Linked DNA regions of Anolis sagrei. The protein of the gene in region 1 purifies or fractionates together with the protein of each later gene. This does not show direct contact. Links are inferred from orthologs where the notes say so. Each region holds a gene or a part of one and is shown on either strand. Other genes may lie near its edges. The genes, in order: IBTK, EIF4A1 and RPP25L.

Region 1 (5,379 bases):
CTTCCACACAGCCCTAAATCCCAGATTTAAGGCAGAAAATCCTACAATATCTGCTTTGAACTGGGATTATGGCAGCGTGAACTCGGATAATCCAGGGCCCTTCCACACAGCCCTATATCCCAGAATGTCAAGGCAGAAAATCCATTTTTTTTCCAAAAAAGTAACATAGTTGGTTTACTTACAAACTTCATGCGTTCAGCATACAAGTACATAACTTGTCAATCCAGTTATAGATAGGTTTGAAGTAGTTTCTCTGTGCAGATAACACAGGGCATCTTTCTTAGAATCAAACAGCAACAGCTTTACATTCTGAAAGTCTCATGAAGTCTCAGTCTGAATAGTCCCAGATCTGATCACATGGTCTGCAGCCCCTCCCACAACCTCAAACAACATTAGAGTAAGCAATCTGAATTATACCTTAAGAAATGGGGCTACAAAGTGGAATCCACGACATGCGAGTGTGGAGAAGAGCAAACCCCAGACCACCTGCTGCAATGCAACCTGAGCCCTGCTACATGCACAATGGAGGCCCTCCTTGCGGCAACACCAGAGGCACTCCACGTGGCCAGATACTGGTCAAAGGACATGTAATTAACTACCAAGCTTGCAAACTTTGTGTTTTGTCTGTTTTGTTTGTTTGTTTTGTTAAAAATGTAATACAACTGTCTGGTTGCTCCTGACACGATAAATAAATAAACAAACAAATAAATCTGAATTATATACATAACTAATCACTAGTATAGGAGGCTTGTAGAAAGTTGCTATTTCCAACACTTCGAGGGACTTAACTTAAGAAGTTTGGGGGACCCTGCTGTAAAACTAACACAATTTGACAGCCATGGCTCAAGACTATGGGATCGTGGGAGTTATAGTTTCCGAAGCATCACCATTCTTTGGCAGGGATGGCTAAAAACTTTGTAACATTTGTCGAATTTTCTTAGGGCCCTTCCACATCCCCATATAACTCAGAATATGAAGGCAGAATAACCCACAATATCTGCTTTGAACTGAGGGCCCTTCCACACAGCCCTATATCCCAGAATATCAAAGGAGAAAATCCCATATTATTTGAGTGTGGACTCAGATATTCCAGTTCAAAGCAGATGTTGTGGGATTTTCTGCCTTGATATTCTGGGATATACGGTTGTGTGGAAGGGCCCTTGTCCAGAGGAGGGCGACTAAAATGATCAAGGGTCTGGAGAGCAAGCCCTATGAGGAGCGGCTTAAGGAGCTGCGCATGTTTAGCCTGAAGAAGAGAAGGCTGAGAGGAGATATGATAGCCATGTATAAATATGTGAGAGGAAGCCACAGGGAGGAGGGAGCAAACTTGTTTTCTGCTTCCCTGGAGACTAGGATGCGGTACAATGGCTTCAAACTACAAGAAAGGAGATTCCATCTGAACATGAGGAAGAACTTCCTGACTGTGAGAGCCCTTCAGCAGTGGAACTCTCTGCCCCGGAGTGTGGTGGAGGCTCCTTCTTTGGAAGCTTTTAAACAGAGGCTGGATGGCCATCTGTCAGGGGTGATTTGAATGCAATATTCCTGCTTCTTGGCAGGGGGGTTGGACTGGATGGTCCATGAGGTCTCTTCCAACTCTTTGATTCTATGATTCTCTGCCAGAGTGATGGTCCATTCCCAAACTACAAATCTCACGATTCCATTAATTAACACTGAGCTAGAGCAGTGAAAGTGTTGTCAAACCGCATCCACTGTACAATGCAGATGGCTCCTTATACTTTCACTGCCATGGGGCCAGGAAGCTTTTGGGCCTCCTTAAAAGAGAGGAGGTAGCCATGGCAACGGTATGTGATGGAGCTTTTGGATTCAGAGCCGCTGAGGGGAGGATAAGCCCCGCCCCTTTTCTGTGCCTAGCCCCTCCCCTTGTCCTCCCTTCCCCTCTCAGTCCCTTTTTTGACTCTTGGCAGCTTCCAGCCAATCGGCGTTGGGGAAACTCCGCGCCAATCGCGTGTCCGCTTGCTTCCGGGTCTGGGCGCCTCCTCTCTTGCTGGGTTGCAGCCGTGGCGGCTTCCTTCTCGGGCCCTGTCAGACTGGGCAGCATCGGCCCCTGTCTTCCCCGCCTCCAGCCCGGCCTTCTTCTCCTTTTCCTCCTGCTCTTTCTCCTCCTGGCTGGGCCCGGAGCCCTTCGGCGCCACTGAGCATGAGCTTCCCCGCCTCCCTCCGCAGCCCCGCTGACGACCGCCCGAGCCCATTCATCTAGCGACTGGTGAGGGCTGAAGGGAGTTGGGGGGGGGGGGGCTGTGGGGGAGGCATGGCTCAAGACCCCTGGGATTTGTAGTTTGCCAGAGGTGGATAAAAGCCTTGCAGAACTATAACTCCCAGGAGCCCATACTCTTAAGGGGTGATCAAATTATTCATTCTATACTATTCAGCGAAGGCCTGGGCAACCTTCGACCCTCTAGGTCAGTGGTTCTCAACCTGTGGGTCCCCAGATGCTTTGGCCTTCAACTCCCAGAAATCCTAGCAGCTGGTAAACTGGCTGGGATTTCTGGGAGTTGTAGGCCAAAACACCTGGGCACCCACAGGTTGAGAACCACTGCTCTAGGTGTTTTGGACTTCAACTCCCACCATTCCTAGGCATTGTGGGAGTTGAAGTCCAAAACACCTGGAGGGCCAAAGATTGCCCAGGCCTGGCAAAGAAGAAGGAGGCAGCCAGGACTTTGTACAAGGCTTTGGGGGAAAAGAATAAACACAGACTTCAGAATTAGAAATATTGCACTTTTAACCCAATGTGTAACCTGAGCATTCATGTAGCTTGGCTGTATAATTATCTGGATGATGCCACCACATGATAGAAGTAAACAGCTGTTAAGGATATGCTGGTGACCAAAAAGATGAGTCTCCAAGCTGAGAAAGGTTCAAAGTCTACAGAGAGGCAAAATTGTTATCGCTTTAACTTGAATCTAATGCTCAGCTTTTTGGACTAAAATTAGGGTGCTCAATAGATTTGTGCAATACAGTAATCTTTGGGCCCTTTTAGACAGGCCCCACACCCCAGGACCGAATCTCAGATTTTCTGCTTTAAACTGGATTATATGAGTCTACACTGCCATATAATCTGGGATAAAAAGAAAACCTGGGATCAAATCCTGGGATATAGGGCCTGTTTGTAAGGGCCCATTGTGCCGAGTCAAAGCAAAAGGGGAAGCTGTTTCAGAGGGCCCTTCCAGACAGGCCCTATATTCCAGGATCTAATCCCAGGTTGTCGGTTTATCCCACATTATCTTGCAGTGCGGAGTCATATAATCCATTTTAAAGCAGAAAACCTGGGATCAAATCCTGGGATATAGGGCCCGTCTGGAAGGGCCCAGAGACACCCGGAGCTCCTATTTGAGGGATGCCATTTCAAATTTTATGGCCGTGGTTCAATGCTCTGCAAATCCTGGGCTTTGTAGTTTGGTGAGCCACCAGCATTCTTTGGCAGAGAAACTTGCAAAACTACATGATTTCATAACATTGAGCTATGGTCAGTGTTTATTTGGTTCTGCATGTTTCTTCCAGTTCAACTGAGCCATTCAGATTTAACTACATTGAACTGGATTATATAGAAGTGTAGATTCAACCTGTAATCCAGTTTAAGACAATTAATCTGAATTCAGAAACTGGATTATATGGCAGTGTAGATTTCTTCTAGTTTAAGAAGTTCTGCTTTAGATTTCATCATCATAAATGCTGGACTTAAGCAAGGCTCACTGCTCTTTTCTTAGGCAGTGAACACTGAATTTCTCCAGAAGTCTTTGCATTGTAATATCTGGAAGATACTGTATTTACTCCAATCTAATGCTCACCTTTTTTTGGCTAAATTTCCTTCCCAAAATTAGATTTGTGTAGTATTCACCTGCAGCTCCTATTTGAGGGACATCATGTTTAATTTAATTTAATGCAATGCTGGGATTTGTAGTTTGGTGTGGCATCAACATTCTTTGGCAGCCCCCATTATCCCATACTATAGCCCCCATGAAACCATAGTATTGAACCAAGGAAGTTAAAGTAGATTCATTCTACAGCATAGATGCACTCCAAGGTTTCCCTTTCCATCTCTGGAAGCTTTGATATTCCAACACTTTTGTTTTTAAGGGTTTTGAAAATAGAGGTGTGCATTAGATTTGATGATGCCATAGACTCGTTTATTTATTTATTTATTTATTTATTTATTTATCGTGTCATCAGCAACCATACCATTGTATTACAATTCTAACAGAGCAAAACAAACATATAGATTAAAAAGAAAAGGAAAAAAAGAAAAGAAAACACACAGATTTTGCAAATTTGGTAGTTGGTCAAATGTCCTTTGACCAGTATCTGGCCACTTGGAGTGCCTCTGGTGTTGCCGCAAGAAGGTCCTCCATTGTGCATGTGGCAGGGCTCAGGGTGCATTGCAGCAGGTGGTCAGTGGTTTGTTCTTCTCTGCACTCGCATGCCGAGGATTCCTGTTTGTCACGAGCCATAGACAAATGTATGTTCCTTCTCAACCGGGCTTTGGACAGCTCTGTGGGAGGCAGACATTCAGTAGGTATAGATCTGCACAGTTTTGGGAAAGTAGAGCTGTATGAGTTGAACTTTTATACTTCATATGATATGGGTTTATCATTTGCATTTCATCTAGTTTCTTGAAATTTGTAGAAATTATGCCTGGAAGATGAGGATTAATGTCAACAAATATGAGAAGAAGGAGGAAAAACAGTAAACAGTGGTCCTAGAAAGCCTGGTACAGGTTGAACAGCCCATATCTTGAAATCTGAAATGCTCTGAAATTGTCCAGATGGGTGTCTGAGATAGTTGCACCTTTGGTTTCTGATGGTTCACAACATTCAAGCCTTGTTTTATTCACAAAATGATTAAAAACACCATATATAAAATTATGAGTCAAGGCTCCCTTATATTGAATTCTGAAATGCTCTAAAATCCAAAATTGTTCACATGGGTGGCTGAGGTACTGTCACCTTCAAATTGTCAACCTACTAATAATGGCACCTTTGTTTTTTTGATAGTTCACAGTACACAAACATCGTATCATGCACAAAATTATTAAAAATACCAGGCTGACCTTCTCTTATCCAGAATGCCGAAATATTTCAAGTTGTCAACTTGAGAATAATGAAACTGTTGCTTTCGGATGGTTTAAAGTACACAACTTTATTTCATGCATAGAATTTTTATCATATATGAAACGTAAATGAATTTAGTGTTTAGCCTTTAGTTCCATCTTCAAGTTATATAATGTATATATGTGTAAATGCAGATATTCCAAAATCCAAAAAGATCACAAACACTTCTGGCCCCAAGAATGTTGGATAAAGCACAATCATTCTATATCTTCAAGCTATGTGTGAAAGATGTTTATGAACCATAAATAGGTTT
Region 2 (5,379 bases), on another chromosome or scaffold:
CCAGTGGCTCTCTTTCGTCCTGGAGAAAAGTGACCAGTGGTATAGACCACATTGGGGTTGTCTCCTGCTGTTAGGAATTGTGGGAGTTGAAGTCCAAAACACCTGGAGGGAGAGCCGAAGTCGGCCCATGCCTGCATTAAAAGGCACATCTACACTGTAACACTAATACAGTTTGATACCTCTGGAGTCCTGGGGAGTGTAGTTTGGTGAGAGAAAGCTCAAGGCCTTGGGAAACTACAACTCCCAGAACCCCATAGCATAGAGCTATGGGCATTTGAAAGGCTATCATGCTGGATTGGAAAAGAATGGGAACCCTTTCCCATGCTGATGTTGGACTACAATTCCCAGAATCCCCCAGAAGATCCTGGGAATTGTAGTTCCTATTTGCAACAATTCCTATTTGGACTACAATTCCCAGAATCCCCCACTTCCTATTTGGACTACAATTCCCAGAATCCCCCAGAAGATCCTATTTGCAACAATTCCTATTTGGACTACAATTCTCAGAATCCCTCAGTTCCTATTTGGACTACAATTCCCAGAATCCCCCAGAAGATCCTGGGAATTGTAGTTCCTATTTGCAACCATTCCTATTTGGACTACAATTTCCAGAACCCCCCAGAAGATCCTGGGAATTGTAGTTCCTATTTGCAACAATTCCTATTCGGACTACAATTCCTATTTGGACTACAATTCCCAGAATCCCCCGTTCCTATTTGGACTACAATTCCCAGAATCACCCAGTTCCTATTTGGACTACAATTCCCAGAATCCCCCAGAAGATCCTGGGAATTGTAGTTCCTATTTGCAACAATTCCTATTTGGAGTACAATTCCCAGAATCCCCCAGAAGATCCTGGGAATTGTAGTTCCTATTTGCAACAATTCCTATTCGGACTACAATTCCTATTTGGACTACAATTCCCAGAATCCCCCGGAAAGATCCTGGGATTTGTAGTTCCTTTTTGCAACAATTTCTATTTGGAGTACATTCCCAGAATCCCCCAGTTCCTATTTGGACTACAATTCCCAGAATCCCCCAGAAGATCCTGGGAATTGCAGTTCCTATTTGCAACAATTCCTATTCGGACTACAATTCCTATTTGGACTACAATTCCCAGAAACCCCCAGTTCCCATTTGAACTACAATTCCCAGAATCCCCCAGTTCCCATTTGGACTACAATTCCCAGAATCCCCCGGAAGATCCTGGGAATTGTAGTTCCTATTTGCAACGACTGGAACCCTTCCTAATTTGGCCCCCCACAAAGAAGGGCCTCTCCACCACGTGGGCTTTTTCCTCTCCTGGCCTGCTTTGGGGCCTACTCCTTCCTCCTCGCCTCCCATTGGCTACCTCCTTTCCCGCCCCTTCCTGACAGGCGCGGCGGAGAGCCAATCAGCGTCGCCTTTCTCCTCCTTGACGTCACGTCTCCAGCTTTCTCAGTAAGCCCCGCCACTTTGACGTCACCCAGTTCCGGCGATTCAACCAATCAGCGCGAGTCTCCGTCAACGCCTGACGCGGGGTGTGTTTTTTTTTTAACAGGGCAGCCAATCAGAGAGAAGCCGGTCTAGCTGACGGGCAGTGCGATGGTCCAATAGGAGGAGGGGAAACAAGGGGCGGGACTTAGCCTGCGGGCCAATAAGGGAGGGGCCGGTGGGCGGGACTAGGCGGCTGTTATAAGGTGGAGTGAAGCGGGCGGGGCTAGGACCTTTCTGCCCAGAATGTCTGCGAGTCAAGAGAGCCGGTGAGTGAGCGCGAGGGAAGGCTCTTCCCTTCTCCCCCTCCCCCCCCCTCCGCGCTAGGCCGCGGCTGTTCCTTCTTCCTTCCATCCTCCCTCCGCGGTGGAACAAACCATTTCCGCAGTAGGTGGGATAATATTAGAAATCCCTCGTTATTCCTATTTTAACAATCCTGGGTGTTATTATTTTGCTTTTGTTTCATTTTCGTGACCTTTTTTTCATCCTTTGGCCTTAAGTTCCCTTTTCTTCCTGACCACGTGGCCGATTCCTTTCCCTCCCGCTTTCCCCCCCTAAAAACGGATTGGACTCTCCCTCGCCCTTTTAGTCCCTTATGGACCTCTGGGCGGAACCATTTCCTTTCCGGGGGTGGTGGTGAGAAAAAATAGAGGAGAGGTAGGCCTCGAGCGTTGGCGCGGCCTTCGCCTTGGCCTATCTCCTCGGCGCCATTTCGCGCATCGAGGGCGCTCTCAGTGGAGTTGCAATCCCACCTCGCCCCGCATTTCGCGCACCCACTTCACCCCCATTTTTGAAATAGTTTCGTCCCTTCCTTTTGCTTTCCTACATGGCGGACGAATCCATTTAATTTCGAGGGTGCCCTTAGTGGAGTTGCAATCCTCCCCATTTCTAAAATAGTTTCGTCCCTCCCGTTGATTTCCTACATGGCGGACGAATCCATTAAATTTCGAGGGTGCCCTTAGTGGAATTGCGACCCCCCTCCATTTCTAAAATAGTTTCGTCCCTCCCGTTGGCTTCCTACATGGCGGACGAGTCCATTTAATTTCCGAGGGGGGTTGTTTATTATTTTTAAATTGTATTTTCCACTTTTTTTCGTGGAATGTGCACGGCGTCGCTTCTCCTTTCCCCCACGCGAGGAGCCATTTTGCGTCTCGTTCTTACACAACTTTCTCGTTCTTACACAATGGTTCCTTTCCCCCCATTTCCAACTCTTAACCCCCCCTTCCCGGAACATTTGGTATTTCCCAGCGCCGTGTTTCTTTGGGGCGCTTGGGCGAGACGATTCCTTTATACCGGGGGATCCTCATTTCCAACTCTTAACCCCTCCCGGAATATTTGGAATGTACCAGCGCCTTGTTTCTTTGGGACGCTTGGGAGAGACCATTCCTTTATAGGGCGAGACCCTCGTTTCCAACTGTAATCCCCCCTCCTGGAGGATTTGGTATATCCCAGTGCCTTGTTACTTTGGGTCGCTTGGACGAGACCATTCCTTTATACGGGGAACACTCAGGCGAACCTATTCCCGATCCCCCAACTCTACCGACCCCTCCCGAAACACTTGGTATTTCCCAGCGCCTTGTTTCTTTGGGACGCTTGGGCGACACCATTCCTATATACGGGGGACCCCTCATTTCCAACTCTAATCGCCCCTCCCGGAACATTTGGTGAATCCCAGTGCCTTGTTTCTTTGGGACGCTTGGGCGAGACCATTCCTTTAAACGGGGGACGCTCAGGCGAACCTATTCCCGATCCCCCAACTCTACCCACCCCTCCCGAAACACTTGGTATTTCCCAGCGTCTTGTTTCTTAGGGACGCTTGGGCGAGACCATTCCTTTTTAGGAGGACGCTCAGTTCGACCCCTTCCGCCATTCTCCAATGAGAAAACCCATTTTCCACCTCTTCGTTGGAAATCATTTCTTTGGGTCGCTTGGGCGAGACCATTCCCTTAATGGGGAGGCACGCTAAGGCGAAACCATTCCCGAATTCCTTCTCTAATGGGGAAATCCAATTAGTTGGAAATTGTGAATCCTAGAATCTCCTTTTCCCATCTCTATTCTCGAATGGGAAATTCCATTAGTTGTGAATCCTAGAATCTCCTTATTTTCCCCTCCCCCCCCCCTTTTTTTGGGCGCGTCCATTTTTTCCTCTCTCCTTCCATTGCCCATTGTCCTGCCGCTCTGCATCCGGGAACTTTTCGGCTGCCCGTGACGTCACGCGGCCCCCGTGGCCGCAGGCGAGCAAAAAAGGGCGGGGCCTCGCTGGCCTTATAAGGAAATTCCGGAAGTGGGAGGCGCCGCAGAGGCCTCGAGCCCCGCGCGCTGGGAAAAGACCCGGATGTCAGGAAGGAAGGGCGCGAGGCCGGCGGAACTTCCGGTCTGGGAGGCCCAAAATGGTGTTTTCGGGTCAAAAATGGCGGCAGAGCTGTGTTGCCACCTTCGAGGGCCAACTATATCGATGGGAGAAACATAATTCAAGAGACTGAAGGCCCTGGGGGTGTTTTGGACTCCAATTTCCATCATTCCCAGCAGCCTCAGAACTTTTTCAGCCAAATTGGGCCCTGGGGGTGTTTTGGACTCCAACTCCCATCATTCCTAGCAGCCTCAGGCCTTTTCCTTTTCCCCTCAGCCGATATTCCACAGATATATCATAGAATCATAGACTCAAAGAATTGGAAGAGACCTCCTGGGCCATCCAGTCCAACCCCATTCAGCCAAGAAGCAGGAATATTGCATTCAAATCACCCCTGACAGATGGCCATCCGGCCTCTGTTTAAAAGCTTCCAAAGAAGGAGCCTCCACCACACTCCGGGGCAGAGAATTCCACTGCTGAACGGCTCTCACAGTCAGGAAGTTCTTCTTCATGTTCAGATGGAATTTATTAACATAAAAGCTCAAAAAATACAATATATCATAGAAATCATAAAACACTAACATATAAATACATTCAATAAGCTGTTAAAAACAGTACACATAGACCTGAAAACACTCCAGAAGCCGTTCCAAAACACTAACATATAAATACATTCATTAAGCTGTTAAAAACAGTACACATAGACCTGAAAACACTCCAGAAGCCGTTCCAATCGCAACGCCGTCACTTCGTAGCTGCCTATAGCCCTGTGCTACACTCCAAATGCCTGGTTCCATAACCAGTTTTTAACTTCCTTTCTAAAGGATAGGAGGGGAGGGCACAATACAATACGTATGTGCAGATTGTCCAGACAGGAAAATAGAAGATAAGGAATTGACAAGAATGTAGCCTTGATCTTAAAAGGAGAAAAAACAATGGCCTGATGGAAAAGCAATATAATTGCACCAAAGATAATAACATTGTATAGAAACAATGATGACAATGGTAATAACTGAGAGGCTGAGGGGGGAAAGGAAAGGGCCTGAGGCTGTTAGGAATGGTGGGAGTTGAAGTCCAAAACACCCAGAGGGCCAAATTTGGCCCATGCCTGGTCTATATTGAGGGACACCATAGTCTGATTGTCCCTTGGCAGCTAATTCTCAGTGTTTTCTTCCTAGATCTAGAGACAATGGCCCTGAAGGAATGGACCCCGATGGTGTCATTGAGGTGAGTGCGGCCTGCAGCTTGGGATCCTTGAAGGAATCCACTGGGTGTTTTTAGAAAGCACCAGGGACTTCTCAGGGATGAACATGTTGCTGTGGGTTTCTGTGGGGTTGCAAATGGAAGGGATCTGTCTGGGTAGGGGTTGTGTGTCTTCCTGGAGCTTCCTTGCACTCAGTGGCTAAATCCCATTTTTTTTTAGGCACCAAGTCCTTGAAACATTAGCTGCTATAGCAAGTCCAAGAACCGCTTGTCCTTCTAGTTCAGGGATTCTGGACCAACTTACCTGTCCAAACGCATCTCCCCTTACGAACCTTCAAGAAATTTAAGATCAT
Region 3 (5,379 bases), on another chromosome or scaffold:
ATGAAGGAGAGAAGGAGGGAGAGAAAGAGGGAAGGAGAGAAGGAAGGGTAGCGAAGGAAGGAAGGAGAGAAGGAGGGAAAGAAGGAAGGGTAGAGAAGGAAGGAAGGAGAGAAGGAGGGAAAGGAGGAAGTGAAGGAGAGAAGGAAGGAAAGAAGGAAGGGTAGAGAAGGAAGGAAGGAGAGAGAGGAAGGAGAGAAGGAAGGAAAGAAGGAAGGGTAGGGAAGGAAGGAAGGAGAGGAGGGAAAGAAGGAAGGGAGGAGATAAGGAAAGAAGGAAGAGTAGGGAAGGAAGGAGGGAGGGAGGGAGAGAAAGGGAAGGAGAGAAGGGAGGAGAGAAGGGAGGAGATAAAGAAGGAAAGAAAGAAGGGTAGAGAAGGAAGGAGGGAGAGAAAGAGGGAAGGAGAGAAGGAAGGAAAGAAGATAGGGTAGAGAAGGAAGGAAGGAGAGGAGGGAAAGAAGGAAGGGAGGAGATAAGGAAAGAAGGAAGAGTAGGGAAGGAAGGAGGGAGGGAGGGAGAGAAAGGGAAGGAGAGAAGGAAGGAGAAAAGGGAGGAGATAAAGAAGGAAAGAAAGAAGGGTAGAGAAGGAAGGAGGGAGAGAAAGAGGGAAGGAGAGAAGGAAGGAAAGAAGGAAGGGTAGAGAAGGAAGGAAGAAGAGAAGGAGGGAAAGAAGGGAGGAAGGAGATAAAGAAGGAAAGAAGGAAGGGTAGAGAAGGAAGGAGGGAGAGAAAAAGGGAAGGAGAGAAGGAAGGAAAGAAGGAAGGGTAGAGAAGAAAGGAAGGAGAGAGAGAAAGAAGAAGGAGAGAAGGAAGGAAAGAAGGAAGGAAGAAGAGAAGGAGGGAAAGAAGGAAGAGAGGAGATAAAGAAGGAAAGAAAGAAGGGCAGAGAAGGAAGGAAGGAGAGAAGGAGGGAAGGAAGAGAGGAGATAAAGAAGGAAAGAAAGAAGGGCAGAGAAGGAAGGAAGGAGAGAAGGAGGGAGAAAAAAGAGGGAAAGGAGGGAAGGGGAGAAGGAAAGAAAGAAAGGTAGAGAAGGAAGGAAGGGAGAGAAAGAGGGAAAGAAGGAGGGAAGGAGAGAAAGAAGGAAGAAAGGAGAGAAGGAGGGAATGAAATAAAAAAGTGAAAGAGGGAAGGAAGGAGAGAAGGAATAAAAGAGAGAAAGAAGGAAGGAAGGAAGGAAGGAGAGAAAGAAGGAGGGAAGAAGAGAAAGAAGGAAGGAAGGAGAGAAAGAGAGAATGAAATAAAAAAATGAAAGAGGGGAGGAAGGAGAGAAGGAATAAAAGAGAGAAAGGGGAAGGGAAGGAAGGAAAGAGAGAAGGATGGAACCAAAGAGCAAAGGAAGCGAGGAAAGAAACAGCTAGAGAAGGAAGAAAGAAGAAGGGAAAGAAAAAGAGGGATGAAAGGAAGGAGAGAAAGAAAGGAGGAGAGAAAGAGGGAGGGAAGGTTGGCCATAGCAAGGCATGGCAGGTATAGCTAGTGTCTTATAAAATCCAACAGAAATCATCTGAAATTTAGAATTAGGATTTTGAATTAAATTTCCCAACACGCCCCCTGGAGGCCGGCTGAGCAATGTACTCCTTCAACCGAGGGGCGTGGTCTTGCTTGGCGGTTCGTCCAATGGGAAGGCGGGGGCGGGGTTTCGCTCCTCGCTCTGCGCGGGGAAACCTCTCTTCCTGGCTTCTCCTCTGCGTCATAAGGAGGCGCCTGTGACGCGCATGCGCGGAAGAGCAGCCGGCTCTGTAGGAAGCAGGAGAGGCGCCATTTTTCCCTGAGCGCCCTCTGAGCAGGAAAGCAGGCAGGCAGCAGGTGAGCGGGAGCGGAGTGGGGCCTACACCATACCGAGAGAACTTGTTGTTATATTATTACTGTTATGTTTATTATTACCGTATGTTTTTTCTTTCCACAGAAGAGACTTCAAGTCTATATATAATCATAGAATCATAGTCCAACCCCATTCTGCCAAGAAGCAGGAATATTGCATTCAAATCACCCCTGACAGATGGCCGTCCAGCCTCTGTTTAAAAGTCTCCAAAGAAGGAGCCTCCACCACCATATAATATAATATATAATAATATAATATTATTAATAATATTATGCGTTTTTCCACAAAGGAGGCTCCAAGAGAGATATTGACTCTAAGCTGGAATGTGCCCAGAGGAGGGCGACTCAAATGATCAAGGGTCTGCAGAACAAGCCCTATGAGGAGCGGCTTAAGGAGTTGGGCATGTTTAGCCTGAAGAAGAGAAGGCTGAGAGGAGATATGATGAGGGCCATGTATAAATATGTGAGAGGAAGCCACAGGGAGCAGGGAGCAGATCAAGGGTCTGGAGAAGAAGCCCTATGAGGAGCGGCTTAAGGAGCTGAGCATGTTTAGCTTGAAGAAGAGAAAGATGAGAGGAGACATGATGAGGGCCATGTATAAATATGTGAGAGGAAGCCACAGGGAGCAGATCAAGGGTCTGGAGAACAAACCCTATGAGGAGCGGCTTAAGGAGCTGAGCTGAGCATGTTTAGCTTGAAGAAGAGAAGGCTGAGAGGAGATATGGTCAGCGCCATGTATAAATATGTCAGAAGAAGCCACAGGGAGGAGGAGGGAGCAAGCTTCCTTTCTGCTTCCCTGGAGACTGGGACGCAATGGAACAATGGCTTCAAATTACAGGAAAGGAGATTCCATCTGAACGTGAGGAAGAACTTCCTGACTGTGAGAGCCGTTCAGCAGTGGAACTCTCTGCCCCGGAGTGTGGTGGAGGCTCCTTCTTTGGAAGCTTTTAAGCAGAGGCTGGATGGCCATCTGTCAGGGGTGATTTGAATGCAATATTCCTGCTTCTTGGCAGAATGGGGTTGGACTGGATGGCCCAGGAGGTCTCTTCCAACTCTTTGATTCTATGATTCTATGAAACCTATATAATATATAATAATAATTTATTAATAATAACATGTTTATGTTTTTTTCCACAAAGGAGGCGCCAAACCTATATATATATATATATATATATATATATGAAACATTATAAAACATAATAAACATTGTGTGTGTGTATATATATTTATATGTTGTTTATTATGTTTTATGACGATGATTATATTTATTTATTATGATTATTTTCCACAAAGGAAGCTCCAAACCTATATATATGAAACATCATAAAGCATAATAAACATTGTGTATATGTGTGTGTGTGTATATATGTTGTTTATTATGTTTTATGACGATGATGATGTTTGTTTATTATGCTTTTTCTTTCCACAAAGGAAATTCCAAGCCAGTTTATTTATTATTATTTTTCCCACAAAGGAGGGTCCAAACCTCTATCTATCTATCTATCTATCTATCTATCTATCTATCTATAATAAACACTATATATATATATATATATATATATTGTTTATTATGTTTTATTATGATGATTTATTATGTTTTATGATGTTTCATATATGTGTGTGTGTGTGTGTGAAACATCATAAAACATAATAAACATTGTGTGTGTGTGTGTGTGTATATATATATATATTGTAATGTTTATAACAATGATTATGTTTATTTATTATGCTTTTTCTTTCCATAAAGGAAATTCCAAGCCAGTTTATTAATTACTATTTTTCCTACCAAGGAGGTTCCAAACCTATATATATATATATATAGTTTATTATGTTTTATTATGATTTATTATGTTTCATATGTGTGTGTGTGTGTGTGTGTGTGTGTGAAACATCATAAAACATAATAAACATTGTATGTGTGTATATGTGAATGACTCGGGACTATGTCTGTTCTTGTTTTTATTGTATTTTAAAGTTAATTGTATTGTTTTAATCTACTGCTGTAAACCGCTCCGAGCCAAATTGGGAGTAGCGGTATACAAGTCAAATAAATAAATATCTCTGTGTGTATATATATTTATATATTGTTTATTATGTTTATGACAATGATTATGTTTATTTATTATGCTTTTTCTTTCCTTTGTGGAAAGTCAGGAGGTGCTGTGGTTTTTAGCTTTAAATATGTTTTAATGGATTTTAACTGCAATTTTGTTAGTACCGTTACGTTTAATTCTGTTTTAATATTTGTATATTTTAAATTATGTGTTCATACTTTTAATGTAAGCCGCTTTGAGTCTCCTTTGGTAGAGATAAAGGGAGGTATATATAAACAACAACAACAATAATATGTATATATGCAAAATTCATATTGCTTGTCCTAGCATTAGACACTAACATTCTGATTAGATGTTTAAGTTTTCTTTTTCTTCTCTTTGCTTGATATCAAGTGTTGATCATGGAGAACTATCAGAAATCCAAAACGGTGGAGAAGCCTTCTCCTCTTCCTTTCGCCAACTTGCCCCCTGATATCATTGAGATGAAAGTGAAGGATGGCAGCAAAATCCGGAACCTGATGGGTTACGCCATCGGCAAGATGGAGTCCGAGGCCATGAGGCAGGTCCTCTTCAGCGGGGTGGGCAAAGCGATTAGCAAGACGATCACCTGCGTGGAGATCATGAAGCGGAGGATGAAGCACCTCCACCAGATCACCAAAGTGTTCTTCAAGCAAATAGAGGAGATTTGGGAACCCATCGTTCCGGAGGTTGGCCTCGACCCTTTGACGGTGAAGCGGAACATCCCTGCCATTTGTGTCCTGCTAAGCAAAGACCCCCTGGACACTCAAGCGCCGGGGTATCAAGCCCCGGGGTCCTTCGATGCCTTCTGGTTGGAGACGCTCAAGTCGGAATCTCAAGGCCAGGCCAAGAGGAAGCAGGGAGGAGGAGGGAGAGGGGCTGGCCGGACTGGGAAGCATCCTCGCTCCCTCGGACGGGAGGACTCCTACAAGAAGCCTTGAGGAAGCTGAGCTTCCGAGTGCCAGGAATTGTCTCCAGAACCAAGAAAAGCCAGATAGCTTTCACCTTAATGTTGGAAACAGTGAGAGTGGGAAGTTACATCGAGGGAGTGGGGGGAAAAGGGCAGGTGTGTCTGTTTGAACGCAAATACCAAGTCATATTGGATGGATTGAACATGAAGGTGTTCTAGCTTTGAGCCTTTCCCTTACAGAGAGTTTTCAGTTTACGTTTAGAAGCAGTGAGAGATGGAAGATATATTGGATAGAAGGGTCTGTCTGAATGTAAACACTAAGTTGTATTGGATGGATTGAAGTGGAAAGCCTCCTAGCTTTGGGTTTTTACCTTATGGGGGAAGCCTTCTTTGTATTACATAAAGTCTGTTCAGGAAAGGGATACTTGGAATAGTCGTGGAAAGGAAATGCAAGATATTCCTCAGTGGGAAGATGTCCCTCTCTCGTACAAGGATGGCTGATGGAGTCAGTTTTCCCCCTCCTGTTATCTGGTTGTTTTCTTGCCGTTGCAAGAGTCTTGCACTTTGCAATTTTGGTCAGAT

The links.
Region 2: the proteins of IBTK (region 1) and EIF4A1 purify together in Homo sapiens (co-immunoprecipitation; 4 studies listed by BioGRID and IntAct, counting the BioPlex papers as one, with this or other methods). This does not show direct contact. The link is inferred for Anolis sagrei from reciprocal best matches to the Homo sapiens genes IBTK and EIF4A1.
Region 3: the proteins of IBTK (region 1) and RPP25L purify together in Homo sapiens (co-immunoprecipitation; 3 studies listed by BioGRID and IntAct, with this or other methods). This does not show direct contact. The link is inferred for Anolis sagrei from reciprocal best matches to the Homo sapiens genes IBTK and RPP25L.

The regions. Positions count from the first base shown.
Region 1 is NC_090021.1:108,202,585-108,207,963, forward strand, and holds the start of IBTK (inhibitor of Bruton tyrosine kinase), read left to right. Parts: upstream 1-1,962; 5' UTR 1,963-2,224; intron 2,225-5,379. UniProt on the Homo sapiens protein: Acts as an inhibitor of BTK tyrosine kinase activity, thereby playing a role in B-cell development. Down-regulates BTK kinase activity, leading to interference with BTK-mediated calcium mobilization and NF-kappa-B-driven transcription.
Region 2 is NC_090026.1:3,280,575-3,285,953, reverse strand, and holds the start of EIF4A1 (eukaryotic initiation factor 4A-I), read left to right. Parts: upstream 1-1,667; 5' UTR 1,668-1,719; coding exon 1,720-1,742; intron 1,743-5,001; coding exon 5,002-5,050; intron 5,051-5,379. UniProt on the Homo sapiens protein: ATP-dependent RNA helicase which is a subunit of the eIF4F complex involved in cap recognition and is required for mRNA binding to ribosome.
Region 3 is NC_090022.1:300,717,635-300,723,013, forward strand, and holds the start of RPP25L (ribonuclease P protein subunit p25-like protein), read left to right. Parts: upstream 1-1,718; 5' UTR 1,719-1,800; intron 1,801-4,262; 5' UTR 4,263-4,270; coding exon 4,271-4,828; 3' UTR 4,829-5,379. UniProt on the Homo sapiens protein: May be a component of ribonuclease P or MRP.